Linked DNA regions of Notamacropus eugenii. The protein of the gene in region 1 interacts with the protein of each later gene in a biochemical or structural test. Links are inferred from orthologs where the notes say so. Each region holds a gene or a part of one and is shown on either strand. Other genes may lie near its edges.

Evidence for each region.
Region 2: of the proteins of MAPK1 (region 1) and ATF2, one has a biochemical effect on the other in vitro, tested with the Homo sapiens proteins (3 studies listed by BioGRID). The link is inferred for Notamacropus eugenii from reciprocal best matches to the Homo sapiens genes MAPK1 and ATF2.
Region 3: of the proteins of MAPK1 (region 1) and ELK1, one has a biochemical effect on the other in vitro, tested with the Homo sapiens proteins (16 studies listed by BioGRID and IntAct, with this or other methods). The link is inferred for Notamacropus eugenii from reciprocal best matches to the Homo sapiens genes MAPK1 and ELK1.
Region 4: the proteins of MAPK1 (region 1) and TNFRSF1A form a complex in vitro, tested with the Homo sapiens proteins (2 studies listed by BioGRID, with this or other methods). The link is inferred for Notamacropus eugenii from reciprocal best matches to the Homo sapiens genes MAPK1 and TNFRSF1A.

What each region holds. Positions count from the first base shown.
Region 1 is NC_092875.1:8,406,903-8,414,868, reverse strand, and holds the start of MAPK1 (mitogen-activated protein kinase 1), read left to right. Parts: upstream 1-4,838; 5' UTR 4,839-4,858; coding exon 4,859-5,520; intron 5,521-7,966. UniProt on the Homo sapiens protein: Serine/threonine kinase which acts as an essential component of the MAP kinase signal transduction pathway. MAPK1/ERK2 and MAPK3/ERK1 are the 2 MAPKs which play an important role in the MAPK/ERK cascade.
Region 2 is NC_092876.1:237,515,122-237,522,197, reverse strand, and holds the start of ATF2 (cyclic AMP-dependent transcription factor ATF-2), read left to right. Parts: upstream 1-3,915; 5' UTR 3,916-4,077; intron 4,078-7,076. UniProt on the Homo sapiens protein: Transcriptional activator which regulates the transcription of various genes, including those involved in anti-apoptosis, cell growth, and DNA damage response.
Region 3 is NC_092879.1:101,805,085-101,813,265, reverse strand, and holds the start of ELK1 (ETS domain-containing protein Elk-1), read left to right. Parts: upstream 1-5,013; 5' UTR 5,014-5,514; exon of another isoform or gene 5,515-6,331; 5' UTR 6,332-6,362; coding exon 6,363-6,569; intron 6,570-6,720; coding exon 6,721-7,050; intron 7,051-7,168; coding exon 7,169-7,501; intron 7,502-7,622; coding exon 7,623-7,724; intron 7,725-8,005; coding exon of another isoform or gene 8,006-8,116; exon of another isoform or gene 8,117-8,181. Other genes in the region: protein UXT, read left to right, coding at 3,033-3,130, 3,209-3,290, 3,375-3,442, 3,776-3,883, 4,579-4,642, 4,732-4,785. UniProt on the Homo sapiens protein: Transcription factor that binds to purine-rich DNA sequences. Forms a ternary complex with SRF and the ETS and SRF motifs of the serum response element (SRE) on the promoter region of immediate early genes such as FOS and IER2.
Region 4 is NC_092874.1:194,579,860-194,587,403, reverse strand, and holds the start of TNFRSF1A (tumor necrosis factor receptor superfamily member 1A), read left to right. Parts: upstream 1-4,358; 5' UTR 4,359-4,890; coding exon 4,891-4,926; intron 4,927-7,544.

The DNA.
Region 1 (7,966 bases):
CCAAATTAATGTCATGGATGAAGACCCACTGATTGCAGAGTTCAAGGCTGATAAAGCACTTTCCTTACATCCCAAGTTGGGGAGTGCGTAATGATTGCTTCCTACAAACAGAGGAATCAGGTGACTTACACAGTCACATAGTCAGCAAGTGTCCAAGGAGTGGAGCTGTTGTTCAGTCATTCTAGATTCCTCATGACCCCATTTGGGGTTTTCTGTTTTGCCTCCATGTTCTCATCTGTCAAATGAGCTGCAAACCGTTTGAGTATCTTTGCTAGGGAAAACCCCACGGACAGCTTTGGTGTGTTACGGTCCATGGGTCACGAAGAGTCGGACACGACGAAACAACAAAAATAACTTTTTATTGTTGAAGTTGTTGCTGTTAATAAGCGCTCTCATGGGAAGTTCTAGTGGCCCACGCTTCCCTCTCCCCTCCCCCAGGAGAGGTAGAGACATATGTACAATGTGCCTCTGTTTCCCCCTTGGAAGAAAAGGAGATCAGTGAAGGGAACGGAATGAACAAAATCATTATTTTCCCTCAGTAATAATCTGCTCACCTTCCAGCAGGTCTCCACTCATGGGTCTTGCTTATTCCCTCTGGGGATACCTATTCCCTCCAGCTCTGAAGAGGAAAGATGATTCCCTCCCCAGCATTTCCATTTAACTCAATCAACATTTCTGAGAAGCCTACTCTGCACAGGTCACTGGGCAACCTGCTAGAGTTAACACACTCTGTTCCCTCAGCTGATCACAGGGTTAGGGAGGTGGTCACCGGGAAGTCCAGACTTCCCCACTGAGTCAATCAATCAATCAATCACCCAGCCCCAACCAGTGTAACTAACCAGATGCTTTAGCCAGCATACCTTTACCAGCTGAGAGCACCTCTAATTATGGTACAGAATAAATCAATTAAAGGTATAAACTAGGCATGGGAGAAACCTTTAATCATTCAGAAATGCCAAGCACTGGAAGAAGTGAAATGAGATGAATAGTATTCAGGATATGTATTGGAATTGGCTGGAGAGCATCGGTCCTGCCCTGTGGGGCTCAGATACAAACAGCCTGCCAGCTGGAGCCTGGGCTTCCTTCCACTGGCTGGCCAGCCTTGTGCTGGGACAGTTCCAGTCAAGCTCCTGAGAGACTTCTCCCTCAGAAGGAGGGAAGCAGGGGAGGAAAGAGGGATGGAAGAAAGGAGTGAAAGAGGGAGATAGAAGAGGGAGGGAGGGAGACAGGGGAGAAGGAAGGAAGTCAGGGGAGGAGGGAGAGAGAAGAGAGGCTCTGTCTCTGCCCCACACTTGACCAGAGGACAGCCTCATGAGCCTTCCCGTGAGCACCAGTTGCAGGCCCCTGTAACACATGCCTCAGTAGCACAAAAAAAAAAGAAAGTCCTCAGCTCTGGACTCTGATATTCATCCATAACAGTCAGATGTCCTCTAAGGTTTGCAAAGCACTTTACAGATACTGGCACAACAATCCTGAGAGGGAGGTGCTATTATTATCCCCATTTTACAGATGAGGAAATCAGGGAGGTCTGATGTAAAGTGATTTGCTCAGGGTCACCCAGGATAGGGAGTATTTGAGGCCAGGTTTGAACTCAGGTCTAAATGACTCTGGGGCAGCTAGTTAGTGCAGTGAGTAGTATATTGGAGTCAGGAAGGCTCATCTTCCTGAGTTCAAATCTGGCCTCAGACACTTCCTAGTTGGGTGACCCTGGGCAAATCATTTCACCCTATTTGCCTCAGTTTCCTCATCTGTAAAATGACCTGAAGAAGGAAATAGAAAACACTCCAGTGTGTTTGCCAAGAAAACCCCAGATGGGGTCATGAAGAGCCAGACCTGACTAAAACATAGCTTAACAACTTACTGACTTCAGGTCAGGTGCTCTACCCATCATACCACCTAGCTGCCTTGGGGGTCCCCACCCTTACGAACTGCAAGAGTACTCCTCAAAGGGAGAAAAAGAATCCCGGAATGCAGGCCCTGAGTTGCTTGGCTACATGCTCCCTAAGCCCAGTATCCTATAGTTCTTGGGGGATAGTGTATCCCAGGCTCCGTGTGCATGTGCATGTTTGTGTGTGACTTAGTTGTACTCTGGTCCTCTCTATGCCTTAATATCCTTTTGTAAAAGCTAACCAATGTTAATTAAGGCTGAGGCAATGCCAGCCGGTTCAATGATATTGGGAATCACACCAGAGCAGTAAGGCTAGAACCCGGAGGACAGATGTCACTGCCCTCTTGGGGGACCCAGCTTGACTGTGAGAATGAGACAGGAAGATGAGGAAAGCAGCTTAGATTGAGGGTTCCAGATCATTTCACCGATGAAGGGCCTAGGCTCAGGGAGGTGAAGGGACAGGTCCTAGAGGTGAGGAGCATTAGAGGTGGAATATGAATCCGGGTCCTCTGACCTTCCTTTCATCCTGGACCATCCTGCCTCCCACAGCAAAGGAGAGCAGATCTGTTCCCTCCCTTGCCTCTCTGAACGCCTCCGAGAACGCATCAGCCTTCTTTGGCTGCCACAAGCCATTGCTGACTCATATGGAGCCTGCAGCTTCTTGAATGTTTTTTCATATCTAGTTCCATCTCGTTCATTCTGAGTTCATCGCAGTTGTGTTTTTGGAAGTGAGAGCACAGCATTGATCCAGTAATCACTAGTCTGAATAGTTTTTCAATTAGTCATGAATTCATCTAACTGTATACTTGTATGTGCTACATCTTGGCACCTGGAGTCTTACAAGTTTTCTTGCTGAAATCCATCCATTGTGTATTGACAGCCTTGCAGCCAGTAAACTAGCAAAGAAGGAATTTTATGTAGTCTGGAATCCTTTGTTCTGGCTCCTCTTTCCAGGGGTTCACACATTATGTTTGAGAATATATTCTGGAATTTTGATGGGCATCTATATCCAGTACTTCAGTCTCTATTTTCCAGAACTGTGTTCTTCTTTTCAATCAGTCATCAATCAAGCCACATTTATTAAGCACCTACCATGTGCCAGGCCCTGTGCTAAGGGCGGGTGATACAAAAAGAGGGAGGTTTTCAAGAACTATGATGCTGTTTCTGACTCTCTGAGCAGTGTCTGCTCAGTTTACTAACAGCAGCCTCAAAATCAGATATGCAAAATGGGTCCAACCAGATTAGATTTTGTGATGTACCGTTTGCACGCTCTGCTTGCAAAAACAGAGGCTGAACCAGGGTGGATGGTGTTGGCTTAGATCTGGCTGGCTGTGGTTTCGAAGCGTGTGGTACGTGTGACGGAGAGACAGACGAACTTGCAGCAGAAGCCGTGGAGTGGGGATTAAGGTGCCTGGCATTTCTCAGCATGTGTTGAGCAGCTCTGTGTGTGGAGGGTGCCTATAAGATGGGGGTGCCTCCGAAGGGTGTGTAGGAGGAATAGATGTGGGAAGAGTGGAGGTGCCTTTGGGGAGATGTGCCTGGAGGGGATAGCTGGGTAGCTGAATGTGTGTGGTAATTGCCGAGTGGGTGTGAGATCTGAGTGGGTTGTGATGGTATGTACAGGAAGAGGGGATCCTTGGAAGTATGTGTGGGGTCTGGGCATCTGAGGGCGTCTCTAGTAGGGTGGGTAGGGGCTTTGAGCCTGCACAGGAGCATACCTTTCTACATGTATATGAGCTCCAAGTGTTTTGCCCTATGAGAGGGTCCTCCATTTGGAGTTGGAAGGGACTCTGCCCTCCTTTCTTTTACAGATGAGTCTACAGAGGTGAAAAATACTACATTTAACTGGCTACACAAGTGGCAGAATTGTAATTTGATCCCAGGTCCTCTGACTCCAAAGCCAATGTTCTTTCCACTAACACTGCAGGCAAAGACACCTCTTTCAACCTCAGTTTTCTCATCTGAAAAACAGGGCTAATAACAGCACCTTCCTTCCAAGATTGTGGTAAGGATCAAATGAGATAAAACTTGCTAAGTGCGTTGCAAACCTTCCATGAAGCAGCTAGGCTATGCAGTGGATAGACTGCTGGTCCTGAGTTCAAACCCCGCCTCTGACACTCACTAGCAGCGGACACCAGACTAGTCACATAACCTCTGCCTGCCTCAGTTTCTTCAACTGTAAAAGGGGCCTAATTTCGGCACCTAGGTGGCAGGGTTGTTGTCAGGATCCCACGAGACCGCTGTAAAGTGCAGGGCCTACGTGCCAGGACGCAGCCTGCTTTGCAAGGGTAGGCACCGGAAGGACGGGGTGCCTGAGTGACCTGGGCACACCGCTGAGCTCCCCGCCTGAGGGGCGCGGGCTCCCAGGCTGCTTGCCTCTCCGATTCTCGGGGCGGGTGTCGGGGGGCTGAGCCTGCACCTCTGACTACGCTGCCAGGGCACTTTCGGGAAGGGGTTGAGGGGGTGCGCGTGGGATCTAGGAGGGCTCGAGGGCAGCGGGGTGAGCGCTGACCATCCAGCTCCCACCGTGCGAGTGCCGAGCCTGGTGCGGGGGCACCGGGAGGCTCGGGGCGTGGGCGTGGGACCCCCCCCCCCCCTCCCAGGGGAGGGCATGCTCGGGCATCTCGGGGCCTGCCAGGCCCGGGCGGAGGCGCGCGTGCCGGGGCACATCTGCCCCGCGTGCCCCGGGGCTGCTCCCCTGGGGCGGCTTCTGCATTCTCTGCACCCCCGCAGCGGAGCGCAGAGCCCAGCACACAGTGGGTCCTCCGGCAGGGGGGCGCCGCGCCGCACCACGCCACGGGGAGAGGCGCTGAGCTGGGATTCGGGCCGCAGGCCCGTGCGGCGCATGCGCGGCTTCCCGTGTCTGGGGCGGGGTGCAGGGCGGGTATGTGGCGGGCGTGCGCCGGGGCGCGCCTGCGGGGGGCGCTGGCGCGCGGTTGCGTGTGGGCGGGCGGCGGCGCCTCTCGGCGCATGCGTACTCCGGTTCGCTCGCTTTCCGTCGGCAGGGGGTGCGTGGGTGCGGCGGCCGCCTCCCCGGACGGAGGTCCTCTTTTCGGTCTCCTCCCTTTCGCTCCCCCTCGGACGCCCCCGCAGCTCCCCGCGGCCCCTCTCCTCGTCTCGGTCTACATCTTCTCCTTCCTCCTCCCCGCCTCCCCCGGCCTGCGGCGTGTGCGCCTGCGCGCACCCCTCCCCTCCGCTCCCTTTGCACGTGACCGCGAAGCCTCGGCCGCCCCTCCCCCTCCCGGCGGCCGGTCCTTCCGCATCGGCGCGCGCTCGCCGCAGGCCCCGCCCCTCGCCGCGCGCCCGCCCTCGGCCCCCAGGCAGTCGGGCAGTCGGGCCGTCAGTCGGTCGGGGCGGCAGCAGCGGGCGGCGGCCGGAGGCAGCAGGCGGCAGCGCTCGGGGGGCCGCGGCAGCTCCCGGCGGCTCGGCGGTGGGCGCCCCTCCTCGCGTGCTCGCCCTCTCTTCCTCCTCCTTCTCCCTCGGCGGGCGGCGGCGGCGGCGGCGGCCATCATGGCGGCGGCGGCGGGAGGCGGCGGCGCGGGGCCCGAGATGGTCCGCGGGCAGGTGTTCGACGTGGGCCCGCGCTACACCAACCTGTCCTACATCGGCGAGGGCGCCTACGGCATGGTGTGGTGAGTGCGGGGCGGCCGGCCGCGCCTGGTGCGTGCCCGGTTACCGGGTGGGGGGGCCAAGATGGCCGGGGCGGGCTGCGCTGCGGCTCCAGGGCCGGCCCGGCCTCTGCTCGGGGCTGGGGGGCCAGGCCCGGGCGGTAACAGTAACAGTAACAGTGGCGGTAACAGTAACAGTAACAGTAACAGCGACAGCCTCGCTACAGTATCCATTGTACAGATGCGCACACGGAGGCCGGCCGGGCGTGCTGAAGGTCACCCGGGGCCGGAGGGGCGCCCAGCTCTCCCAGGGGACTTTCCCCAATTCTGTGGAGCCCCCGGTGACCCCCAGCATTCCAGGCTATGGCGCTGACAGAAGCATAGCCCGTGCACATCGCCCCCAGGGCCCCAAAGGAGGACCTTGGCTCTTCCTGGCGATCCTGGCGGGCGCTTAGGGCAGGTACCACCACTTGTTAACAAATGACCAGATCTGAGACCCGGCGGAGTTGGCATGGGAGCTCCTGATCCTTTCTTCCTGGTTCTAAGGCACCCTTCCCAGGGTGCCATCTTGTTCCCTTTAGCATCAGAGGTAGAGTTGCCTTCCCTCTTTCTTCATATTTACATCCGGCAATATCCCAATTTTAATCAACGGGCTGTGATCCCAGATCTTACATTTTGGCCAGTCAGATGGGTTTCTTCATTTGAGGCCATCAGACTGCTTAAAAGCTCTATTGTGTGACCTAGTATTGGCCTCCTCTTGTCAAATCATAAGCTTCTTAAAAGTGGGAACAATTTCCCTTTTTTCCTCTTTACATCCCCACCAAATTATTTCGTTGCATACAGTAGGTGTCTAAAGTTTGTTGAACTGACTCTAGTGAACATGGTGTTTAGCTTTATTGTTTCGTGGCCTTTTATTGGTTTGAGACTTGAACAGTTGTGCATTGTGCTTTAAAAAAAACTGTTTAATGATTAATAGAATCACAGAAAGTATGGATGGGAAATTGTTCAGGTGTTCAGTTTCAGACTTTTTTCTGCCCCTGATGGTCTAACCCCTAGATGGTTCCTTTGGATTCACTTGAATTTTTGTTGTCAACCTAGACATGCTGGTTTGATGTCCTAATAAGATATGGAGACCATATGGCAGCATCTAGCAAAGAGTCAAGATAGAGGGCAAACTTTTTATTAAAGTGTATTTTTCAGTGATTCAAAAGGAAATTATTTTTGTTTTCTTACCCTGTTCATGTCTTTTACCCATGTATTGCCCAGTAATGTCTTTTTTTATCTGGAGTAGAATTCAGACTTTTAATAGTACTTTTCTGAGCATCATGGCTCTGTCTTGCCATATATTCCCCAAAGTGAGTGAGAGTCCAGCCAGGGTGGTCCTTTATTGCTTGATCTGAGAATGAACCAAGCAAGATGGATTCTCTTGTTCTCTCTCTCTCTCCCTCTCCCTCCCCCTCTCTCTCCTTCTCTCTCTCTCATTCTCTCTCCCTCCCCCCTTCTCCATCCATCCATCATCCCTCCTTCCCTCTCTTCTTTCCCTCCTCTTCACTCTGCCTCCACCTCCTCCCTCTCTCTTTTTCTCTCTCACCTTTGCTGTTTCTTTGCTTTCCAGCTAGTAGGCCTACTCCTGGTGGTTATTCTAGGTGCTACTCGATTTTTCAAGATTGCTTTTGTCTGCCCTCTCCCACAATGTCTTTTCTGTCCCTTCATGAAACTACATTAGCTCAATATACTGTGTTGTGACCTATGTTCTCTTTGCTTCTTTTTTTTAAAAAATTGTCCTCCATTGCTGTGGAGGCAGCACAAAGCTGACCCCACAGGAATGATTTTGTTTTGGGAACCAGTCAAACTTAGAACACTTAATGATATATGTGATTGCTACTGGACCTGTGTAATTAGGCAGAAGTTATAAGCAGTACTTAGAAGTGACTGAGATTGTTTTATTTTTGGAAGGGAAATATGGACTCTGATAGCGATACATCATTCAGCATGGTTTCTCTAGTTCTAGAATAGAAAATTCATACTTGTTATGTTGTGATACATCCAGTCCTTTATTCTTCATTGTCAACACTAAGCATATTGAGATTTGAAAGTATTCTTTAGGTTCTTCTTTGGAGTGGAAGGACTTGTCAGCTACTGGAATTTTAAAAAGTTTTATTTATGCTTTACTAGTAAAACTAGTTTTTCTCTTTGCTCTTGGAATTTTCTGGTATTTAGCACCACTGTTGGTAGTTTTCTGTAGTACCATATACAGTTTAATCTTGAACCCATATGTTGATAATAAAGAACCAGGATCCAGCTGCCCAGCCCCCAGGCTTCCTTGTGTTCCCATCTCCTTCTACCTGAAAGACGTGTTACCACTGGGCATATTGAGTTGCTCTCTGGTCCTCTGGCACCAGGTGTCCACAATGCTGATAGCCCCTAGTTAGTTGGAACCCAGTCAGGCACAAAGCTCTTTCCAGTATAA
Region 2 (7,076 bases), on another chromosome or scaffold:
CACTATTGAGATTAGAGGATATGGAAGCATAAAATCATTGACTGATGAACTGAGAAAAGATATTGAAAGAAAAAGCATTTGAAGAGGCCACAGAAAAAGAACTCTGATACCAGTGCCTTCAACATAACTGGCTGCTACTTGGGCCTTTCCCCCTCACAGACTGTTCATGTTTATTTTCTATCATTCCTCTGCTCTGCCGTAATTTTCCTCATTTTTAGAAAACCTGATATTAAAAAAAAATTAATTTATAAAAGAGCCATCATGAGATGATTATTCATGTTATGGAAGCATTCTCTTTCTGAAAGAATTCATGGAAGAGTTCCTTTAAATAGAAAGTTCCCCTCATGCATTTAAGTAAATCATTAACTACTTGGCAGGGAGGCTGAGTGAGTCAGGAGAGCAAGAGAATTTTAAAGCCAAAATATTAGGAGTCACTGCCAAATGAAGATTAATCAGAAATGAAGATAAAGCACCTCAAAACTTTAATGTATGTCAATGAGAAAATGATTGATTTGCAAAAATTAAATGCACATGAAAGTTTTCAGGAACATAGCTACTGGTAAAGTAAGATACACTTATGTTATTTCCTCTGCTGAACTACAAGAGTTTGTGAAATTTTCTTGTCCTGATCACAGCTGGCTTTGTCTTATATAAAGTGTTGGAGAGGGTAAAGAGGTACTATTTTAATGATTCATTCCAGACTTGTTTATGATGAATTTACTCTGCATTTTGTAGATTAATATTTTTACAGTGAATACTTTTAAGCTCCTATAGATAAGGACTGTGGATGTGATGATGTTTTTTAAACAGTTCATTTTAATGATATGCTTTGATGTTTCCTATGAAATTTGGGAAGTTACCATCATTTTAATTTTTAATGTTCAAGCATTAATAATCTGGCATCCTTCTTGTCTTTAGTGTATTGAAAATTAGTTTTAAAAGAGGATTGAGTTGGCTCATGTACATGTATGCATGCCAGAAATCTGTTAAAAGGTCCAGCGCCATTACAACCTCATTTTTAATGCCAGATACCATTACTGAAGTGCACATTCTTTACCTTTGAAATATAATCTGAATATCTGTGCATCAATTTACTTTGTATATTTATATATATACTTTGGGAGGGCATATCACATTAAATATTAATAATTTAATCTGCTTTAAAACAGAATAATAGAATTGTAGCTATGGTTGAGAACTTAGAAATTGGTCTTACTCCTCACCCTCCCTTATTTTACAGATAAATATTCTGGGTTTGATTTGTTTAAAATCAATTACGTTGGTTAAACCAGAGCTAAGACCCAAATCTCCTGACTCCCAGTCTAGGTTTGTTTTTTTTCCCCCATGCCATTAAAAGTTGTTTAAAATGTGAACAGGAAGAAGAAAAAACTGATTAGAGAATACTGAAATAAATTTGCTCTTATAGAAAGTGCTGTTAATGAAAGATTCTTAAGTTTCACTAGGGGGGCAAAAATACTTTTCAGGCCAATGCCAATGACTAACTTATTTCATTAAATAATCCATTGGACAAATAGTCTTGATTAACTAATATTACTGAACACCCTTGAAATCCATATATTGTATAGAGAATTTGGGATTGATTATTAAGAAGTCCAGGTACATGTGCTTTTCATGATCTTTAGGAGCACACCTGTAATTTAATAGTAGGGCTATAAAGCACATTTCAGGGAAGCTCACATGAAAAGCTGGCCCTGTGGTCTTCCACGTGAGTTTGATAAAATCAATATTCTTTACAAAGCCATCTATAAGGTGACAGATGTTCCCCTTTTTATTGGAATTATAAGTGATGTCTGTAATGTGATAGTCACAATATAATGCTCATTTTGGTATTATTTCTACATATAATTTTTTATAACTTTTTCAAGTGATTCAACTATTGTTTGAAAAGGCTTTAATTAATAACTGAACTTTGCTGAACTGATAAGTTATATTTGAAGTCCCCAATGTTCACTTCTGAATTTGCCATTAGAGAAATGTATTGTGGATCTTTATTTAAGTATAACTAGAAAAAATACTGTTATACATACCAAGAGGAAATACAGTGAGATGATTATTGTTTTCTAAGCATGAATCAAATTATTGTGGGCAATATTTCATAATCTCAATTTCCTTTCCATAATTTTGAAAGAAAACTTAGAATGCTATGCTTTTTTTGTCCTTAAATTAGCAGATATTACACATCTTCACCTTTTAACCTTCCAGGAGAAGGCAATCTTCTCGAAGTATGGAGTCTCATTTTTCTTTTTGTATGACCAGGGCCTGGTGACTTGCAAATTGTATATACTTCATGACTGCTAAACTGTGAAAAGCGCAGATTTGGAGTTAGAAGATCTATATTTGAATCTAGCTCTTCTCTGTGTGAAATCAGGCAAGTTTTTAAAATCTCTTTGGGTCTCAGTTCTTCATCTGCAAAAGGAAGAATTTGGATTGGGCGATCACTTAAAGATTCTTTCAATTCTAAATCCCATGAAAGTGCAAATCAAAAATGAAATTTGTGGGTGATTCTTTGGTGGGATTACTAATAAATGCAAACACAATTATGTTTGAGCAATGTACAGGCATAATTTTTCAGAATTTAAAAAAGTGATTTTCTTCATTTTGTAAATACCCATCAAAGCTGAAGGTGCAGCCATTTACAGCCATCACAGAATTCGGGCTGTACGGGACTTTAAAGGTGATCTCATCTAAGTCCTTTCATTTTTATAGATGAAGAAATTGAGGGCCAGGGACGGGAAATAACTTTCACAAGGTTACACAGACAACAAATAACAAGTAACTCGAGATTCTCGGACTCCAGAACCCCAAGCCTGACTCCTTATTTGAGCTCTATTAATGAGAAAAAAAGTGATGGATGAGTGTAGCCTAGGAAGGTCATTTCCACCTGCAACCTCGGCAGTGGTAAGGTAAGCTTCACATTCTGGTCCTGAAGGGAAGAACGAGTCCCTTCCTTCCTATATGGCGATCGGGGGTGACCAGGAGGGAACCTTCTCTAACAACCAGGTGAAAGTGGAGGCTGTTGGGGCGAAATCCCTTTCAACTTGGGTCCCACGTGACTAACATTTACTTGGAAATAGAGTCCAAATTCTCAGGCAGCTTTCATTCTAGTCGGAAGCGAACCGAAGCGATCGATTACTCTGGCTGTCCGCTCTCAAAACCACCTCTCAGCCTGCGTCTTTTTTTTCTTTAGGTGTGTAGGCACTTAAAAAAGGCAAACAAAAATACCCACTCCACCACCTGAGCTCCGCCTCTGACTGATGTGGCAGCAGCGGACAGAGCCCCTTCAGGTAGGCGAGAGGGACTGCGCATGCGCCCCAGGACTGAGGGTGGCGCCGGGGGAGGGGAGCAGCAAGAGGAGGAGGAGGGTGTCGCGTTTCTCTCCCAGGTCTTCAGGCGCCCGAGGAGTCACTTGAGAAGAGGGCAGCACCTACTAACTGCCAAGCCCTGCCCCGTGGCTGGGCATGGGAGCCACACTTCACAGCCTCACCTATTCCTCCTCCCCCCCGGAGGACCTCGGCGCGCTGCACTACCGAATTCCAACGCTCGCGTACTGTACTCCCTTCCGGCCAATCACGGCCCGCCGCACTGCTTCTAACCTGAGAGAACTCTCCACTTCCTTCCTCTTCCCGCCTTCTTCCCGCCCCTTCACGGTCCTCGACCAATCATAGGATGTAAGCCGTCTCTTGTTCTCCGCCTCCACCCCATTCTCCTCCTCTTCCTTTAATCCCACTCCAACTCTTTTGCCGCCCCACCCTCTTAGTCTAGCCAGCCGGGACCGGCAGTTGGTCCTGCGGCAGGAAGGGGAGGGGACGTTTTTGTAGGGAGGGGAAGGGGACGTGGGAGGGGAAATGTAGGAGGGAAGGCGCGAGAAAGGGGCGGAGGGAAGTGTTGTCAGTAAGATCTCGCGAGATCGGACGGAAGCCTGTGGGAGCCCGTGGCCTTTAAAGTGCGGTTCAGCCCTTTCCTCCGGGGGTAGTTTGTAAACAGCTGTGGGTGCCGGAGCTCGTGGTCACGGCCCCCGTATTCGGGGGTGGCGCGCGAGCCAGGGGAGCGGGGAAGGTGAGTGATGGTGGGGATCGGGGTGTCGGACGGGAGCAGGCGGGGAGCACCGAGGGAAGAAGGCGCTAACATGGCGACGTCGCTCGCTACAGTCCCCACCCCCCACCATCCACTCCTTCTCGGCCCGGGTCCCTGTTCCCTCGGTCTGTGATGGCAGTTCCGCCCCCGCTGCGGCCTGGGTGGCGCCTGCCCCGCGGCCTTTCGAGGACCGGACCGTTAGGTGGGTGGCTGGCCGGGTTCCGGCTCCTCCCGGCTCGCGCGCTTTCCTCTGCCCAGAATAACGGCATCTGCTCTCCCCCGCTCCGGGCTCTCCCGGCTTTGGGGGAGGCTCCTGGGGGGCTGTGCCCTCCGCTGTGAAGGTGGGCGTGACCCCCCCCTTCCACGTTCCCTTCCTCTCCGGCCTGGAGCAGGAGCAGTCCTCTCCTGCCCCCCTAGATCCGGCTGGTGCGTTGGGGCGCTGGAGGCGGCGGCGGCGGCATGGAACAGGAGGGGCACCTGGGCCCGCTCACCTCCCTGACCTGGGTGGTGGGCATCCTCACTGCGAACCGCACCACCGCTAGTAGTCATGGCTTCTGGGAGGGCCGGCCTGCTCTTTTTTCTTTTCCCTCCCCTCCGTAGGTGAATGCAGGTGTGTTCCCATCGGTGACCTCCGCTGGTGTACAGCCAAGTCTTTGTCAGGGGATGATCTGGGATTTTTTCCTTAGCTTTTCTTTATCCTTCACACCCCAGGGCACCTGTGGGGGCTACCTTATTAATGACTGTGGTCTTTTCCTGGGAGGGGACTAGGGAAAGGGCGGAGGTGGGAGCCCCTTTTGTGCGTGCCTACTTGTGTGCTCTTGAGGTCTGGTGTAAAATCCTCCTCTGAAGGGGATGTGGGAGCCAACAGCACAGCTACTCTGTAAATACAATGGAGTCACAGGGATTACCCATATCTTATGGAAGCCAAGCCTTTTATTGTAGTTGAAGGAACATAGGCTCCAAAATTTGTTAACTTTCATGTAGGGGAGATAATTAAATGAACGCGTCCAAGGAGTATTTCAAAAGCTATCCATGTTCAGCCTTGGAACATTTTGTTTCTTATATTAGAGCATATTTGTTAAACAATTGTTACTAACGGGAGTTTTAGGCGAGTTCTCATTAGGAAAAAAACACCCAATCATTCTCATCTGTTTTATTAAAACTGTAAAAATGGGTGCTTGTTAGTAAAAGTTTATTTTAGAGGTCTAGATATTTATGGAATCAGGGATTAAGGACTATGTAATTCAGGTCGTTGGATTAGATTATCAAGTTATATTGGCCACATTGAACCCAAGAACCCATTATGAACACCAATACATAACTTTGAGCATTCTTAAGAAGTATGTAAAATGAGCCATTTTTTTTTATTTAAAAATTGAGTCACAGAAGTTCTTACTGATCTGCTGGTGCTTCTCCCCTGCCTTCCCAATTATTTTTGATCCTGTGTGTGTTATTTTCCCCAATAGAATGTAAGCTCCTTGAGGACTGTTGTGTTTTTTGTCTTTTTATCACCAACACTTGACATGTAGTAGGACTTAATAAATGTTTATTGATTATTTCATCCTAGAAAACTAAAAGTGAATTATTTAAGAGTTTTAAAGTATTGACCTAAACTACTGACTGATGAATTGTAAAGTATAAGCATTTCCCAAGTTTTATATTGTTAACCATTCTAGTTTTAAAAATGTAATCTTATATTATTTGGATATTACTGTCTTCTTTATATTTCTAGTACCTAGCATAATGACTGACCCATAGTAGATACTCAAAAAATGTTTTATGAGGGAAGGATACACAGTGATATTTCTTTTAAGAAAAAGCATCCTATTGCTACTATTTATACACTACTTTGAAGAGACAGGAAGTACAAGATAATGTTCTCAAAATACTTCCTAGACAGTTGCATAGAATCTGATTTGGAAGGGTCCTTAGAACCTGTCTACTGTGTCCAATACTGGAACAAAAATCCTCTCTCCACCATCTTCAGCAAGTGACCATCCGTTCTTTTTGTCTGATGACTTCTTGGTAACATTCTCTCAGGTAGCCCATTTCCTTCTTGGAGCGCTCTCATTAGGAAAGTTTTTTTCTTATATGAAGCCTAAATCTACCCTCTAACTTCCAGCCCTTGCTTCTAGTTTTGTTCTAGCCATAAAAGAACAAGGCCAATCCGTTTTCCACATGACAGCTTTTCAGATACTTGAAGATGGTAGTCGTGTATCTCCCTAGGTCGTCTCCAAGTTAAATCTTCCCACTTCCTTCAACTGAATCACATGTGGCATGATCTTGAAACCCTTCACAATCCTAGTTAGTCCTCTAGATGTTCTTGAGCTTATAAACATTCTTTTATAAAATGCAGCACCCAAAATTAAACACAGTACTCCAGATGTGGTCTTACCAAGGCACAGTATAGTTGAACTATAACCATTATGATGCTTCAGTAAACACAGGTTAGTATCATATCACCTTTTCTGTCACCCATATCACTCTCTTCACTCAAACTGAACTTGCAGCTGCAAGGTCTCTTTCAGATGACATGTTTCCGTTTCAGATAACTATGTTTTCCTCATCTTGAACTTGCAAAGTTTATTTTTTGAATCCAAATGAGGTTTTTACATTTACCTCATATATCTGCACTGCCTGCCATCTAAGCAATGAAAGAAATAGTGCAGATATCAGATAGAAGTCTGTTTTCTTTATCAAAGTCACTTATGTAGGGGAAAAACCTTTTGAAGGTAGTAATATTATATTCTCTTTAAGCCTCACATACTTATGCAGATCTAATGATTTTTTTATTCATTATTTAATTGATCATCTTGGAGGAAGATCATAATTACCCAAAAAGTTGTTAGTGTTTTCCAGAGAAATAATCTTTCAAAATAGCATTATTTTAAATAGTATTTTGATACACTTTAATACGAGCTAGAAAAACATAATTGCAAATTATGAAATTTACATTGTAAGCATACAGGATTGTAAGACCA
Region 3 (8,181 bases), on another chromosome or scaffold:
GTTCGTGTATTGGTTTTGTTTTGCTGTTGTATTCAGTGTTGTCCAATATTTTATCTGCCTGTGGAAATGTTTGCCATAACACTGATGCTGAGACATCTAGAAAGGAGATTGACAGAATGTATGAGAATATGGTTACAGAGAGACATTTCATTTCCTTCTATGACCATAAGGAGTTGTAAGAATTTTTTATTCCTTTCTCTCCAGTATTATTTAAGCCACTTTAATTAGAAGGAAAGTCATGTAGCTGGCTGAGATTTTCATAAGACTCCCAATTATTTTGATCTACATAAAAAAAAAATATGGGAATAAAAGAATTCATGCTACCCCAATCCCAGATTTTTCCCTCATTAGTGATTTTTTGATGAACTAGCTCTAATGTGATTGTCTTCTTCAGTTATCTTTGAAATACAAATCACGTCAGCATAATCTTTGTCATGTAAATCTTTTCTTTCTCTTATCAGTGATTCCTTTCTCTTTGTAGCCACTGTAATGCAAAATTGTATTCTTTTCTTTGTGTCTCTGATGAGATTAGAAACTGTGTAAACTTTAGGAAATCTAAACTTTTAAATCTACACTTTGTTCCTGATTGAGAGAGATTTTTGAGTTCTGGACCTATGCTGAAGCATATAAAATAAACCTTGATTTTATCTCCTAGTTCTCTGCTTGTTGAAAAGCAAGACTGGCAGCAGGTCAAGGAACCACTGGCTATTCCCATAAGAAAACAAAGTGGATGCTCATCCATTAGAGAATAACTACATTTATGGTGGTCCATGAATTGGCATGGAGTGTTACTCTGTTGTAAGAAATGATAAAAGTGATGAAAATAGAGAAGTGTGGAAAGATCTCCATGAACTGATGCCGAGGAAAGTGAGCTGCAACAATGTAAGTAGAAGGAGTCATAGAACAATCAAAAATGAAAATTCTCTGTAAAGAACAAGCACAGGTGGCATCCAACTAACTGACTAGTTTGTGCTGTATTTGCTGGTATGTTTCTTTCTTTTTCTGTGAGACACTGAATGTCTTTTTCAGTAATTCCCTTCCCCCAACCACTTTATGATTACAAAAGAGAATTCATTTGAATATTTCTAAGAACTCGTCTCCTTCTCCAATCTAATAAAGCTTGTAGGAGCTTAACAAATGTTCATTAAGTGACTGATAAAGAAGATACTGTTTGCTTTGGTCTGATGTAAATAGCTATCCTAATATGTTGGGGCAGCTAGGTGGTGCAGTGGCTAGAGCATCAGTGCAGGAGTCAGGAGGACCTGAGTTCAAATCTCACCTCAGACACTTGACACTCACTAGCTTTGTGACCTTGGGCAAGTCACTTAACCCCCATTTCCTCATCCTGGGTCATCTCCAGTCATCCTGATGAATATCTGGTCACTGGATTCAGATGACTCTGGAGGAGCAGTGAGGATGGTGACCTGCACAGCCCTCCCTCACTCAGAGCAAAGTCAAGTGGAAGTCATGTTATTTCTTTGATGGCATGGTCTTCTTTGGCAACCATGTACAAACACATGCTAATACATTAAGCATTCTTTTAATTTTGATAATGTTTAATGTAAAATTTTGGAATAATCTCTTTGTTCTCTCTGAAACAAACTCAGAGAATGCTTCTTCCTATGTCAGCAAAAGCCAGCCAAGGCTGACTCTACACTCCTTAGGAGACCTTTAACCTAAGACACTAGATCTTATTATCTATAGACATATACTATGTTTGTTATGGCATATTAGTGGTAAAGAAAATATAGACATCTTGGGTCATAATTTCTATGTGAAACTTTGTCAAACTCTGTTATCTTATTGTATTTACAGCCTATGCAATTAAGAAATTTCTTTCTAATGGTCTTGTTAGTCACTTATGGAGATCATAAATCTGAAGGACACAGAACACTTCTTTGTCCTAAAACATATTTAAGGCCGCCCAATTCTTTGTATTGGTAGCCAGAACATTTCTGGCTCCATAATGCATTATGGTGCCATTGTCTTTAATAGGGAATTGATTAATTAATTAATTAAATCATAAAATGTATGCATTTAGCCTGTTGCCTTCTTTTTTTAAACCAAGTTTTCAGGTCAACATTTTTCATACTAAAAGTGACTTCTGCCGACTGCCCTATCTGATCTAATCCAAAACTGCTTTGTATGCTCTCTGGGTATATATACACACATACAAATATGTTATAAACATAAGTAAAAAAAGAAAGATCTATATGTGTTATCTGTGGAATTGTGAATGGTACAGGGTAGAGATTTTTTTTTTGTTTTAGACTTTTTTCTACACTGATCAGATTTGCTGATTTTCCCTCTTTAGCAAACATTATTTTCTGTATGGGTTGGCTCTCTGGGAGTAGATAGTAGAAGAAATGTTGGTGGTATTAACCAGCCTCAAAGATGTCAGTATTTTTTAATGCCAGAATTGTTGTATGGGGTGGGTGTGTGTGTAGGCGGAGAGCAAGCAGTGCCGGAGTCTGGGTCCCCAAGGTCACCCTCAAGGTGGCTTCCTGGTCCTAAGGAGGTCCCAGTCTTACCAAATAGGTCAGTACAAAGTGTAGTCAATGGCAGGCAATCTGAGGGGGGAAGGCCTAGGGCAGGCCGCAAGGCAGAGAGGGAAGCCAAGATGCTTTTTTATGCCTGGCACAGAGTAAGCGCTTCCTGAATGCTTGCTGTCTTACTGACAGCCCGCGGGCCAGAGAATTTCAAGGGCGGGGCCAAAGCCGCGCAAAGTCTCGAAACCGGAAGGTCACGAGACGAGTCTCCCGGATCTCGGGGGCCAGCAGAAACAGCTGCTTCTTCAGGTCTTCTGCGCATGCTTCAGCCTGGCAGCTCCCACCCACCTGGGAGTGCAAGGCCACGCAACCAAACACGTGACCCAAGGGGCGGGGAGTACGCGGCAGGAAGTGACGCAGAACCGCCAGGAAGTGATGCATTCCCCTTGCGGCTCACCCCCGGAAGTCAGAAGCGGGTCTTTGCTGGCGCGGCTGGCTGAACTGGATTGAGTGGCGAGGGGCCTGGGCTAAGGGGGTGGGAGGATGCGGGTGGCCAGCATGGCGACGGCACCGCGGGGGGTCCAGGCAAAGGTCCTGCAGTATGAAACCTTCGTCAGCGACGTCCTGCAGCGAGACCTAAGGTAAATGCGAGGGGGCGTGGGGCCTGCGGGGGGCGGCAGCGGGCGGGGCCTAGACACCCCTTCTGCCCCCCACCCCAGACAGGTCCTGGCGCAGCGGGAGGAAGTGTACGGACAGCTGGCCGCTTACCTGCAGCTGAAGAACGTCCTGGAGCGGCTCCAGGTGAGCGGGGCGGGGCGCCCGGGAGCCCCTCCCTTGGGCCCTGGGACGGCCTGGCCCGCCCTCTAAGCACCCCCCCTCCCGCAGGAATCGGGGGATCAGAGGCTGCACACACAGGTGGATTTGGGGTGTAACTTCTTCGTGAATGCCGAAGTGTGAGTCCCCCCCTCATCAGTGGATCACCCTAGATCGACCCTGGAGCAGTGTGGAAGGAAGCCTATGGGCCCCTGCCCCCAGCATAGTTGTTAAGTGCATGAAATAGAATATATGGACTCCAAGGAGATCAGTTCCATTCCATTTCAGGTAGCCAGGGTTTTTTATTGTTTGTTTTTTTGAAGTTCACAGACTCTGGCTTAAAAACCCCTTACTCCATAAGGAACACCCCACCTCCTAATCCCAGAACTCAGAGACCATCCCAAATGCAGAGAAGCCCCAGAGGGGCCACGAGGTTCATAGAGAGCCCCTTGAGAAATGCCTCTGTCTTCCAGGCCAGACCCTTCCCGGATATTTGTGGCCCTCGGCCACGGCTTCTTCCTGGAGCTGACATTGATGGAGGCCTTGAGGTTCATTGATCGGAAAAGCCGCCTGCTCACCTCGTAGGTTTTCCAGGGTTTGAGGGGAACAGGAGTGAGGGGGAAAGGGAAAGGGTCTCTGACGAGCTCTGGCCATCTTTATTTTTTTTTAACGGCTTATTTATTTTTAGTTTTCAACATTCATTTCCACAAAATTTTAAGTTCCAAATTTTCTCCCCATCTCTCCCCTCCCCCACCCCAAAACACCGTGCATTCTGATTACCCCTTCCCCAAATCTGCCCTCCCTTCTATTACACCCCTCTCTTCCCTTATCTCCATCTTCTCTCTTTTCTTGTAGGGCAAGATAGATTTCTGTACCCCATTACCTGTATTTATTTGCCAGTTACATGCAAAAATGGATTGTCAATATTTGTTCTTAAAACTTTGAGTTCCAGCTTCTCTCCCTTCCTCCCTCTCCACCCATCCCCACTGAGAAGGCAAGCAATTCAGTATAGGGTATATGACTTCCATAATAGTCATATTGTGTAAGACTATGTTTCCCTCCATCCTATCCTGCCCCCCATTTCTTCTATTCTCTCTTGACTTTGTCCCTTCCGGAAAGTGTTTACTTCTAATTATTCCCTCTTCCCATTTGCCCTCCCTTCTATCATTCCCCGCCCCCCTTATCTCCTTCTCCCCTACTGTCGTGTAAGATAGATTTTCATACCAAATTGAGCGAGCATGCTATTCCCTCCTTAAGTCTAGCTATCTTTTTCCAGGCTAAGTGACAACCTCACCCGAGATTCAGCTCGGATCAAAGCCCACATCCGATTGGTGCTGGAGGTAAGAAGGGCAGGAGGGTGGAAGGTGTGTCAGTGGAAAGCTTATTTTAGAACCTAACTTCCGATCCTATGTACTCTCTTCCCTCGAAGGGCCTTCGGGAGCTGCAGGGGCTACAAGAGCTGCCAGATCATCCAGGACACTGATTAGGATGCTGAGAATTTCCTTTCCCTAAGAAGACTGCTACTGAGGCTCCAACTCTTGTTACTTGAAATCAGAAATCCCTTTAATAAAAGCTGGGAATGAGGCTGGGGAGGGGAGAATGTTTGTTGCCATGGAGATGGGGCAGCCTTCCTCCCTACCATTATCTTCTCTGCAGTCGCAGAGCCACGGTCTCTGTTCTCTTCCTGTTTGTTCTTATGGTTGTGTTCGAGCTGGCCCCTTTCCTCCGCCTCCTTCCCCCCCCCCCCCCTCCCACCTCGGTGGGCGCAGACTGAAGAAATTCATCTAGCTGCGCTGGGCCTTTTTCTGCGCAGGCGCACAATCTGTCTCCTTAGTGGCTTTAGATTTGCCACTCTAGTTGGTCCCGCCCTTTGGTGGCGGCTTGGTTGCTCTGACTCACGGGTCCCGCCCCTTCGGCCTTCCCTTACCACGTGATCGATAACGTCAGCCAGACCCCGGTTCTTCTATCCCGGTGGTGCTCTGGGCCGGCTCCGGGCTGCTCTGGGCCGGGGCAGGCTTCGGTCGGTCGTAGGGGGAGGGAGGGAGGTGGTGTAAACCAGGCCGGTCCTGGATAAGAGGCTACAGAGTGGACAGGGGCCGGGATCGGTGTCAGCAGAAGAAGGAGGAGCTAGGGGCGGGAGGGTGGCTGCTACCGGGCTGGGACTCCCCCATGGAGCCCCCGCTCCCCGGAGCTGCCATCAGGTTGCTCACAGGTGAGGCAGGGATAGCCTGGGAATCGGGAGGGCATCTGCTGCAGGAGAAGGGCGAGCTTTCTGTGTATTTTGGGGGGGATTTGTACGGGGTGGGAGACAGGGTTGGGCTGGAGGCCCCCAGCGCCTCTAATAGCCGAGAACGGACCTATTTGTGGCCTTCCGTGCGACTCATCGGCAGCAATGGCCTTAGCTGTGGCTTTCCTTCCCTAGAGTTACGGACCAACCAACCCCTCTGTCCCTATTCTGTAGTCCCTCTGCATGACTCCTGTCCCCGTAGCCCCTGTATGCTAATAGGCCGCCCCAGACATCCTGTCCTTCATGTTGCCCTTTCTTCAGTAATGGTGCCATCCGCCCCGCCCCCTCTCAGTGATGGACCAGGTTATATGGTCCTGTGTTGCTGTAGCTTTCACATTCAATGACTATCCTCCAAATCCTCATTCTGCTGTTATGGCTCTAACTTTGGGGGCCAAGCTGTCCACCCACAGTAATAAGACATACTCATGCCTGTACCTTCATTGGACTGCTCAAGTTAATGACTCCATGTGTGGCGCCTGCAATAAGGAGTCAAACCCCGATTCTGTGTCCATTCTCCATATCCCCTCCCTACCAGCGCAGGCCTAGTGTCATCCCCGTGTCCATGCTGTAGGACATAGTTTCACTCCCATGTTCATGCTCTGGCTTCCCCCATGTCTTCATGCTCCTCTTTCTCCTTTTGGAGTCATGGGATAGCTAGTGACCCACAGCTTCCCCTACACTTTGCCTTGTGATGGAGTCATCCAAAGCCCTCTTTCTGTCTTCCCACCTTCATACTAACCAGCTGGCTGGCTCATGATCCTGTGTCTGGAGTGATGGACCCATCTGTGACCCTGTGGCAGTTTCTGCTGCAACTGTTGAAGGAGCAGAGTAATGGACACCTTATAGCCTGGACATCTAGTGACGGGGAATTCAAGCTGGTAGATGCTGAGGAGGTGGCACGGCTGTGGGGGCTTCGAAAGAATAAGACCAACATGAACTACGACAAATTGAGCAGGGCACTTCGCTACTACTATGACAAGGTGTGCTTCCCCCAGCCTGGCCTGGCTCAGCGGGTCCCCGCCTTACCCTGGGGAGGCCCACTCGCTGGGAGAGGGGTTTTGGGGGGGCATGGGAGGAGGGGTTGGGCCTACCCCTGAACACCCCTGCCCCCCAAATTCCCACTTTTCCCAGAATATCATCCGTAAGGTGAGTGGGCAGAAGTTCGTCTACAAATTCGTGTCCTTCCCGGAGGGGCCAGGCCACGGTGGGGAGGAGGGCCAGGTCCGGGCTGAGATTGCTCCAGAGACCCTCCGGCCGCTGAAGGCCTCTCTAGGGAGCATTGGGTCCTCTGCCCCTACCCCTGTGCGCAGCAGCCGGAATGAGTATATGCGTTCTGGGCTCTACTCCACGTTCACCATCCAGTCCCTGCAGCAGCTGAGCCCAGCGCGGCCAACTCGGCCAGCCCCAGAGCCACTTAGCCCAGCCAGCCTTGAGGCCTCAGAAGCCCGAATGCCGCTCCAGGTTTGCTTATGTGTGCTTGTGCGTGGGTGTCTGGATTCCTTGGGGGAAGGGTGTGTGGGGGGGGAGAAATGAGAATGACTGGGCCAGTCCTCAGCCTCCTCTCCTTCCCCGCCCCCAGGTCATCCTAATGGCTCCCGCCGAAGGCCTGGCGGAGGCTGGGGAGGCAGAGGCTTCGACCGCAGCTTCCTCTCTGCTGCTTCCGTCCGAGACGAAGGGAGAGCGGCCTCTAGAGGAGGGAGCTGCTGTTGCCATGGAGACTAGCGTGGAGGTCGTTGAGTCGCCGGGGCCCGCCCCGGCCCCAGCAGTCGAAGTCCAGGCTCACCCCCCAGGCCCCTCCAAGGGTCGCAAACCCCGCGATTTGGAGTTGCCGCTGGGGCCGAGCCCCGAGCCGGCCGCGGTTTCCGGCCTGGGTCCGGCCCTCACGCCCTCCCTGCTTACCTCCCACGCCCTGGTAAGCCCGAGAAGCCTCCGGGAGGGGGGGCTTGGGGACGGGGCGGGGCGGGGGCGGATCTGGGGGCGGGGCTTAAGCGGGCTTGCTCCACTGTCCCTTGCCCTCCTCCCGTCCACCACAGACCCCGGTGCTTCTGACGCCCAGTGCGCTGCCCCCCAGCATCCACTTCTGGAGCACCCTGAGCCCCATCGCGCCCCGCAGCCCTGCCCGCCTCTCCTTCCAGGTGCGGCCCCTGGAGGGGCGTGTCAATCCTTGTCTTCTTGACTTATCCCCACCCAGGTCCATGTGTGTATGTCACTCCCGGCTTCCTCTGGTGGGCTCTGGTGTGTCTATCTGTCTGTCTGTGTGCGTCTGTCGTCTGTCTCTCCTCATCTCCAGGCTCTCCCAGTCTTTATTCATTCCCATTCTCATTCACCTCTCTCATTCTCTTACACTCACTCTTTCTTTCACTCTCTCTCCTGTCTCTCTCTGTCTTTCTCTGTCTCTGTCTTTCTTTCCTCCCAGTTTCCGGCCAGCAGCAGCAGCAGCTCCCAGGCACATGTGTCTGTCCCTACACTCAGCATGGACGGCCTCTCCACCCCCGTGGTCCTCTCCCCTGGTCCCCAGAAGCCATGACTCTTTCTTTCCCAGGGACTTCAAAGACTGCAGGATTGTGGGTCCCTGGATGGGCCAGGGAGGGA
Region 4 (7,544 bases), on another chromosome or scaffold:
GATTTACATGAACTGATGAAAAGTGAAGTGAGCAGAACCAGGAGAACATCGTATATATAACAGCAATATTATACAATGAAGAAATGTGAATGATTTAGCTATTCTCAGCAATACCACTATCTAAGACAATCCTAAAGGACTAATTGTTAAAGCAGGCTATGTGTCTCCAGAGAAAGAACTGATATTGTCTGAATATAGACTGAAGCATCCTATCTTTTTCTTTCTTTCTTTCTTTCTTTCTTTCTTTCTTTCTTTCTTTCTTTCTTTCTTTCTTTCTTTCTTTCTTTCTTTCTTTCTTTCTTTCTTTCTTCCTTCCTTCCTTCCTTCCTTCCTTCCTTCCTTCCTTCCTTTCTCTTCCTTCCTTCCTTCCTTTCTTTCTCTTTCTTTCATTCTTTTTTAAAATTCTAATCCTCTTATACAAAATGACTAATATGGAAATGTGTTACTTGATTACACATGTGTAATCTATATCTGATTGCTTACCAACTCAAGGAGAAGGGAGGGAAGGAGGAGAAGGAGGGATAGAATTTGGAACTCAAAACTTAAACCCCACATGTTAAAAAATTGTTTTAACACATAATTGGGGAAAAAATAGAACATTATACATATATGTGTATGTATGTGTATGTATACATACACACAGATGCACAGACATGTGTGTGTATATATATATATATATATATATATACGTATATACATATAAGAAAACCCCAGACAGAGTCCTGAAGAGTCAAATAAATATGACAGAAACTACTGGACAATCACTAAACTATAAGAAGTGGGGAAAAGCGTCCACTGCCTAATGGGAAGTTGGAGTCATGATGTTGGGGACTGCAACACGTGATACCCCTAAGGATAAGGCAGCTACTTCTTTCCAAAGGAGATCTTTATGCCAATCAGAGCACCTATCTATCCTTTGTAATCTTTGACCTGCTCCCAGCTAGCAAATTAACCCATTTTCTCCATCCTCCAGCAAGAAGTTTGTCCCTATGAAACAAGTTTCCTCATCATGCCTCTGAAATTCCAGTGGTTCCTCAGATCAAGTTAGTATCCTGGAAGACTTATCTGATAAAGATGGGCTGTTTTTAGACATAGCCCTGGTCCGTTCTTTCAGGCTTTTCCTTGTTCCTTCCCTTTTGGGGAATCACCTGGGTCTCAAGGTCTGCTTCCTCAAGGGGCTCCATACACGTTGGAGAAACAACTCAGGTTTCCCTAAGTTGACGGTTTTCTTTTCCCTTAGGATAGTTCAGATAACTCTTTCCCAAAAAGGATTTGGAGAATCATGGGTAGAATTGTTGGGAAGTGCCTTCCTTTCTAATGATATGGGGGAAGGTGAAACTGTCTCTGTATAAATATGACAATTATAAATTTACCTGGAAGAAAGAATCTTTTAGTTGACAATGGTAATTTTGAGTTCTTGAATGAAGGCTAAGGAAAACCCTTACTCTCAGAACTCATAGAAGAGGGTGGACTCTTAACAGAGGTCTCTAAAGAGACAAATATTTGGTATCATCCTCATGATGTGCTTTCCAGGGAGGACTAAACCCTGGTGGGCACAGACCCCGGCAATATGACAGGTTATATTCAAGAGGGTAATGACCTTTCTACCTTTTTGTTGTTCAGTCATGTCTGACTCTTCATGACCCTGTGGATCATAACACACCATTCTGATGTCATATCTTTTAGCATTTTAATTTAATTGTCTATGGAGTTTTTCTAGGCAAAGATATTGGAATGGTTTGCCATTTCCTTCTCCCGTGAATCACCTTTTATCAGAACTCTCCACTTTGACCTGTCTGTCCTGAGTAACCCTTCATGGCATATATCATAGTTTCATTGAGCTATGTAAGCCCTTCTGCCATGACAAGGCAGTGATCCCAGAGAAGTTTCTCTTACTTACCTTAATTCAAATGACCTTGATCTGTATTGAAGTTTGATGATAACAGAAAGTGTCATGTGAGCAGTGGCTCTGTTGTTTCTGATGCTTTTCAATGCCTGCTTTTCATCATTAATAGCCCCACTGTGAATGCAAAGATGTGGCATCGCCCTCTACGTGGCCCAGATTGGCAAGATTCAGTTCTTTCCAAAATGGGGAGGGAAAGCTGAGGGTTTTCAGTCTTCCCTCTCTTCCATATTCTGTTACTCCTTCAAAGAGCTGTGAAATTATTGCTGTATTTTTCTGATTAGTTTTTCTCTTCATCCTCCAATGCTGCTTATATCAAGCTTCTTTCATCCCTGAGACTAGGTTTGTCGAATAATGACCCTAAAGCTCTGTAAATGGTAGAAAGTCCCTTAAAGCAGGGTTGTCAAACTGCAGCCCCCAACACTCCCCAGTTTGGCCAGCACCAGACTGAAAGGTAATTGGGAAGTATTTAACAAAATGAATAAAAAATGCAATAAAACAAAGATAATATCTAATATGTACTTTTCTAAGTCAATACACAGCCCATAGGGATCTTTATGTTGAGTTTAATGGCAGCCATTTCTATTTGAGTTTGACAAGACTGTTTTAAAGGACTTTGCTGGCATGGTGTAGGGTGTGATAGCAGCAATATGGGCCAGGGTCCCCTCACATGAGGTTTTTAGCCTCTGGTCCTTATTACAGCATTGGCCTGGTTGTTTAATTCAGCACACAACATATGATATCTTTAATCAGTGCTAACACACCCCACAAACAACTGTGCTGTAGGAGGCATCAGAAAAATTCTTTCAGTGTTTTTGAACCCAAAAAGACCAGGTTAGTTTTTCCCTAAAAGGCAAGAAAATTGTCACTGAGACTTGATTGGCCCAGGGGAGTAAGGGGCAAGTCTTTGACTTAGTATTCTGATCATTAAAGGTATAAAAGAGGCCAGTCTGTGAGGAATCCATACACATCAGACTTGGTGGATGTCCCTAACTCTGTCCAAGTTACCACACCCAATGGGCTGACTAGTTGATGAGGGAATGACTTCTATCTGAGCCAAGGATTATGATATTGTCGAGTATCATTTCCATACTATAGTTAATTCAACCTCCTTTTTGATAATGGTGTGAACTTGAACTATCAGATGGACCTGAGACATATCCTACCCCTAGGGGCATCAAGTAAAAGAAACCTCTGGTCCTTAAATCCAATCTTGATGCCACAGTTCCCTTCAAGAACAAGGACAAAGCAAGCAACAGTAACAGGAAGAAGTCACTTCATCAGAAGGAACCAGGGATGGCATGCTTAGATCTACTGGAGACAGCACTATGCTGGAGCCAGATCAAACTGGCTGTAGAATTGATGGTTAAATTTCAGTATGAGCACTTACACCTTGGACATCAGTAAATGCTTACAAATCAGGGCTTTATTTATTGTTCTGTTGATTATTTAGACTTAAGAAAGTGATGAAGAAAATATTAATTTAAATTAATTATAATTAAAATAAATTATAATTATTGTATATAATTAAAATTATAATGTGTTATATATAATTAAAATAAATTAATTAAAAATTAATTTAAATATTAATGCAGATTAAATTTTAAGACATCTAACACCTACAAAGTCCTCTCCCACTCCCTCAGGCAATAGTTAAACATTTACCAGCATGTCTCTGAGAGGATGGGCTCTTGTTCAGTAGATGTAGGTATGGTGGCCATCATGATTATTTCCATTACACTTACAAGAAATGTGAAGCAGCCTTGGACTTGGAGTCAGAAGGCCAAGTTGGAGTCCAGCAATATACTAACTGTGTGACCATAAGCAAGGCACTTTTCCTCTCTGAGAATAATTTTCTTTGTTTCTAGGGTTAGGGTTAGGTCTGTCCATTGAGCATAATACACACACTGTCTACTTCAAGGCATTGCTGTGAAGGAAGTGCTTTGTAAACTTTAGAGCCCCATAGAATTAATTTTTCACTGTCACTGCATCATCATTGGAACTATTATTATTTTTATTGGCAAATGATGCAGCTGGGTTGCACAGTTGCTGGTTCTGGAAGCAGGAAAACTTGAATTTGAATTCAGCCTCAGACCCTTACCAGCTGTGTGACCCTGGGCAAGTCACTTAACGTCTCCGTGCCTTAGTTTCTTCCACTGTATAATGGGGATAATAATAGTTGTGAGGATCAAATGAGAGAATATTTGTTTAAAAAAAAACCCAACTCCTGGCACATAGTAGGTGTTTAATAAATATTTATTCTTATTACTATTAACTAGATGAGAAAACTGATGCTCAGAGTATTCAAGGTCCTACATGGGATTAGTAGCAGAATGGGAAGAGAGCCCAGAATCTCTTGTCTCCCCATCATGTGCTATTTCCCCTTCCTTCCCAAAAGGGGAGGGACAGGGAGGATTTTCAATGCCCTGGGATTTTTGAAGGGATTAAGTGATTTGTGGGGTTGAGGTGCTGGTGTTTGGATGGTTCGTGTCCTATGGTGGAATGGAAGAGGGGAAGAATTTCTCTGCCTTTTTGTATGGAAGTCATCAGAGATCTGGGAACCCCCCGAAGTTTCATCCAGGACTCTTGAATCCTTGGCTGGGCTAGGGTTAAAAGTCTTAAAATTTTTTTTTTTTAATTTTTTACCTCCCCCGCTTCACCCCGCCTCCTCCTCGGGCTCTTCCTGTCCTAGCAGCGGTTACGACACCCTGCTCGTTCCCTCCCTCTTCTCCCCTAGCTTTCTCGGCTCCCGCTGCCTGCTCAAGGTCCGACCCTGGCTCAAGCCGGGACTCAAGTTTTGGTGGCAGCTGCCGCTCCGGTTCGGTCTTCAGGGTTGTCGGCATTTTGAGCTTAGATCTCCATCCTCAAGAGCCTGGCTCGGGTCTCTGACCTCGGAATCCTGTGCTCCGCTCACGACTGGCTCGCTGCTCCCGCAGCGGCCGCCCCGAGCCCTGATGGGGGAGTGAAAAGCTACAGCCAGGCCGGACATGGGCCACCCCACCCTGCCTGGCTTGGTGCCACTGGTGAGAGATGGACAGGGAACGGGACATGGTCGGGGGGTGGACTCGGGGATGGCTTTCATACAGCCCACCAGGGCACCAGGCAAAGTTTGGGGGATCAGACCCCTGGTCTTCCCACTTCCCTTGCCCAACCTCTCCCTATCAATGAAAAGTACCGAAGTATAGGTCCTCAGGCAGGTCACCACATTTGTCCCCTGGAGACAGAGACTGAAAGGTTTGGGGATTTAGGGAGAGGGAGACTGGTCATATGGGGGAAGAAGGAGAGTGTCTTCAAGAAAAGACAGGTCCCAAGACACTGAAGGACCCTACAGGCATCAGGAGAGGGCAGAGGACAGGTTTTCACTAGGGGCTGAGGGAGCTTGCCTGTTGAGGAAGACAAAGGTATAGTGGTGGTGAGAGGGCCAGCTCTGAGGAGTCAAAGTATTTTGAACTTTGTTCTGCCTGGCGAGAACCCTGTGAGAGGGAATGAAGAGAGATCTGTGGAGAAAGGAAAAGACAATGTTAGGGATGAAGGGTGGTATGGTACGGGGCAAGGGGAACAGAGCCGTGGGGCAGGGCCTGAAGAGTGGTGGTCATTTTGGGGTGTTAACAGGGGATTTTTTTTGAGACAGGGAGCTGTGTTGTGGGGCTGATTAAAGTATTCCTGTGGCTTGTCTCAGGCTGGTTTTGTCCATTCTTTTACTTGGGGGTCACCTCCCACACTTCACAGGACTCTAAACTTTTACACCTAGCCTGAGAGGGTTCTTGGATTGTACAGTCATCTCCCTGAAATGACAAGGCAGAGTGTACCACTCTACATCCCACCCCTTCCAACCCCCAAATGGCTGTAGTTCAGTTTCTTATCCTACAGCCCAATTTGAGGAAGTTGGAAAGTTGTCTTCGTCATTAGAAATGTCCCTTTCTCTCCCGTCAGCCCTACCGGCTCTAGGCCTCTCTCCACATCTCCCGTTTCTTCTCTCACTACCTAGGCCTCTCTAAAAGTCTTCATTACCATATTGGACTCACTAATTTCATGGGCTTTTGGCTGTTTCTATGGCCTTCCTATCTTCCTGAACTTTTTGTTCTCTTTTCTGCTTTTCAGCCTCTCTCCACTTTTCCTTTCTTTTCTTTCCTTAGCCTCTTGATCACTTCTGCTCCTCCATTTTCCTCTTCTATCCCAGTTTGTCTTCTGTCCTCTTCCCCTGATTCCTGCTTCTTGTCTTTTGCCCATATCCTTTGTTATTTTCACCATCACTTCTCTTTTCATTTAACCCTACATTCCCTTTCCTCTCTTCTTCTCTGTCATTTGACTTCTTCGTCCTTCCCTCTCCTTTCTAAGCTTACTGAGGGCTGAGCACTAGAACCAGGAAACACTAGTCAAATGTAGGGGATTGGTAGGTTGGGCGCACAAAAGGTGGTTGGAGTCCTGGCTCTCCTATTAGAAATCACCTGTGTGATTTAGGGCCAGTCACTTGACCTCTGTAGGCCTTGGTCTCTTTACCTATAAAATGAGAGTTGAACCGATTAATCTTTAAGGTCCTTTCCAGCTCTAAATTCTATGATCCTAATATGATATGTTGTAGGGGCAAAAGAGAGAAATCAGTAAGAAGGAGTTAGCCATCAGAAGCTTTGTGGAGATGTTTTGAGTTGGGAGACATTGATTGGGAGAGAAGGGTGAAGTTAAGGAAAATGACGTAAGCCATATAGAAGGAAGAGAACAGGCATTCATAAGGAGGGCAGTGAGTAGATCACCTTTTCTGTGGTGGAGTTTGAGAACTGTGGTGAAATTAAAAAATGGAAAGGGAGAGATTGGGGAGGAAGTGAGGGCCTTAAATACAAATCTAGACAAAGATCACAACTGATATGACCTTAGGAAACCATAAAGTTCTTGGGCAGCCAATGATCAGATTATATGATTCAAGTGTTTGAGGTAGAGATACAGATTCAAATCACAAACAGTAGATATCTGGGAGATTTTTATTCATTTTCATTCACTTAGTCAACAAGTGATTGACTTCCTGACTGATACCTGAGAATGAATGACTACAGCTGTACATGGGATAAAGGGAGCTGGGAAGGAAGACAAGAGGTGGTTGCTAAAGTTTAGGTGTGAGTCAACGAGGACTTGGACTACATACAGGGTAATGAAGAGGAAGGGGGTGAATCTATGAGTAGAGAGGAAGAATTTCCAGGATGGATTGATTGGATTGGATTGGATCAATAAAATTGAACCACAGGAATCATGAAAATGATGCTTAGTGATGATGTCTAGGTAGGCAAAGAAAGTGATGAGTTTGGTTTTTGATAAGATTATTGCAGATTATGGTAGATATCTGGGAAACATCCAAGTGTAGGCATCCTCAAAGCATTGAGGGGTATGAAACTAGAAATATGATGAGAAGTTGGGGCTGAAGATATATTATCCCTTTTCTTTCTTTTTTTTTGGAGGTAGTTGGGGTTAAGTGACTCACTCAGGGTCACATAGCTATTAGATATCTGAGGTCAGACTTGAACTCAGGTCCTCCCAACTTCAGGGCTGGTGCTCTAATCCATTCTGCCACCTACCTGCCCCTCCCTTTGATTTATTTAAGCATTTATTGAATTCGCTGCGGTTGATGTGGTTCTCAACACCAAGGAAACTA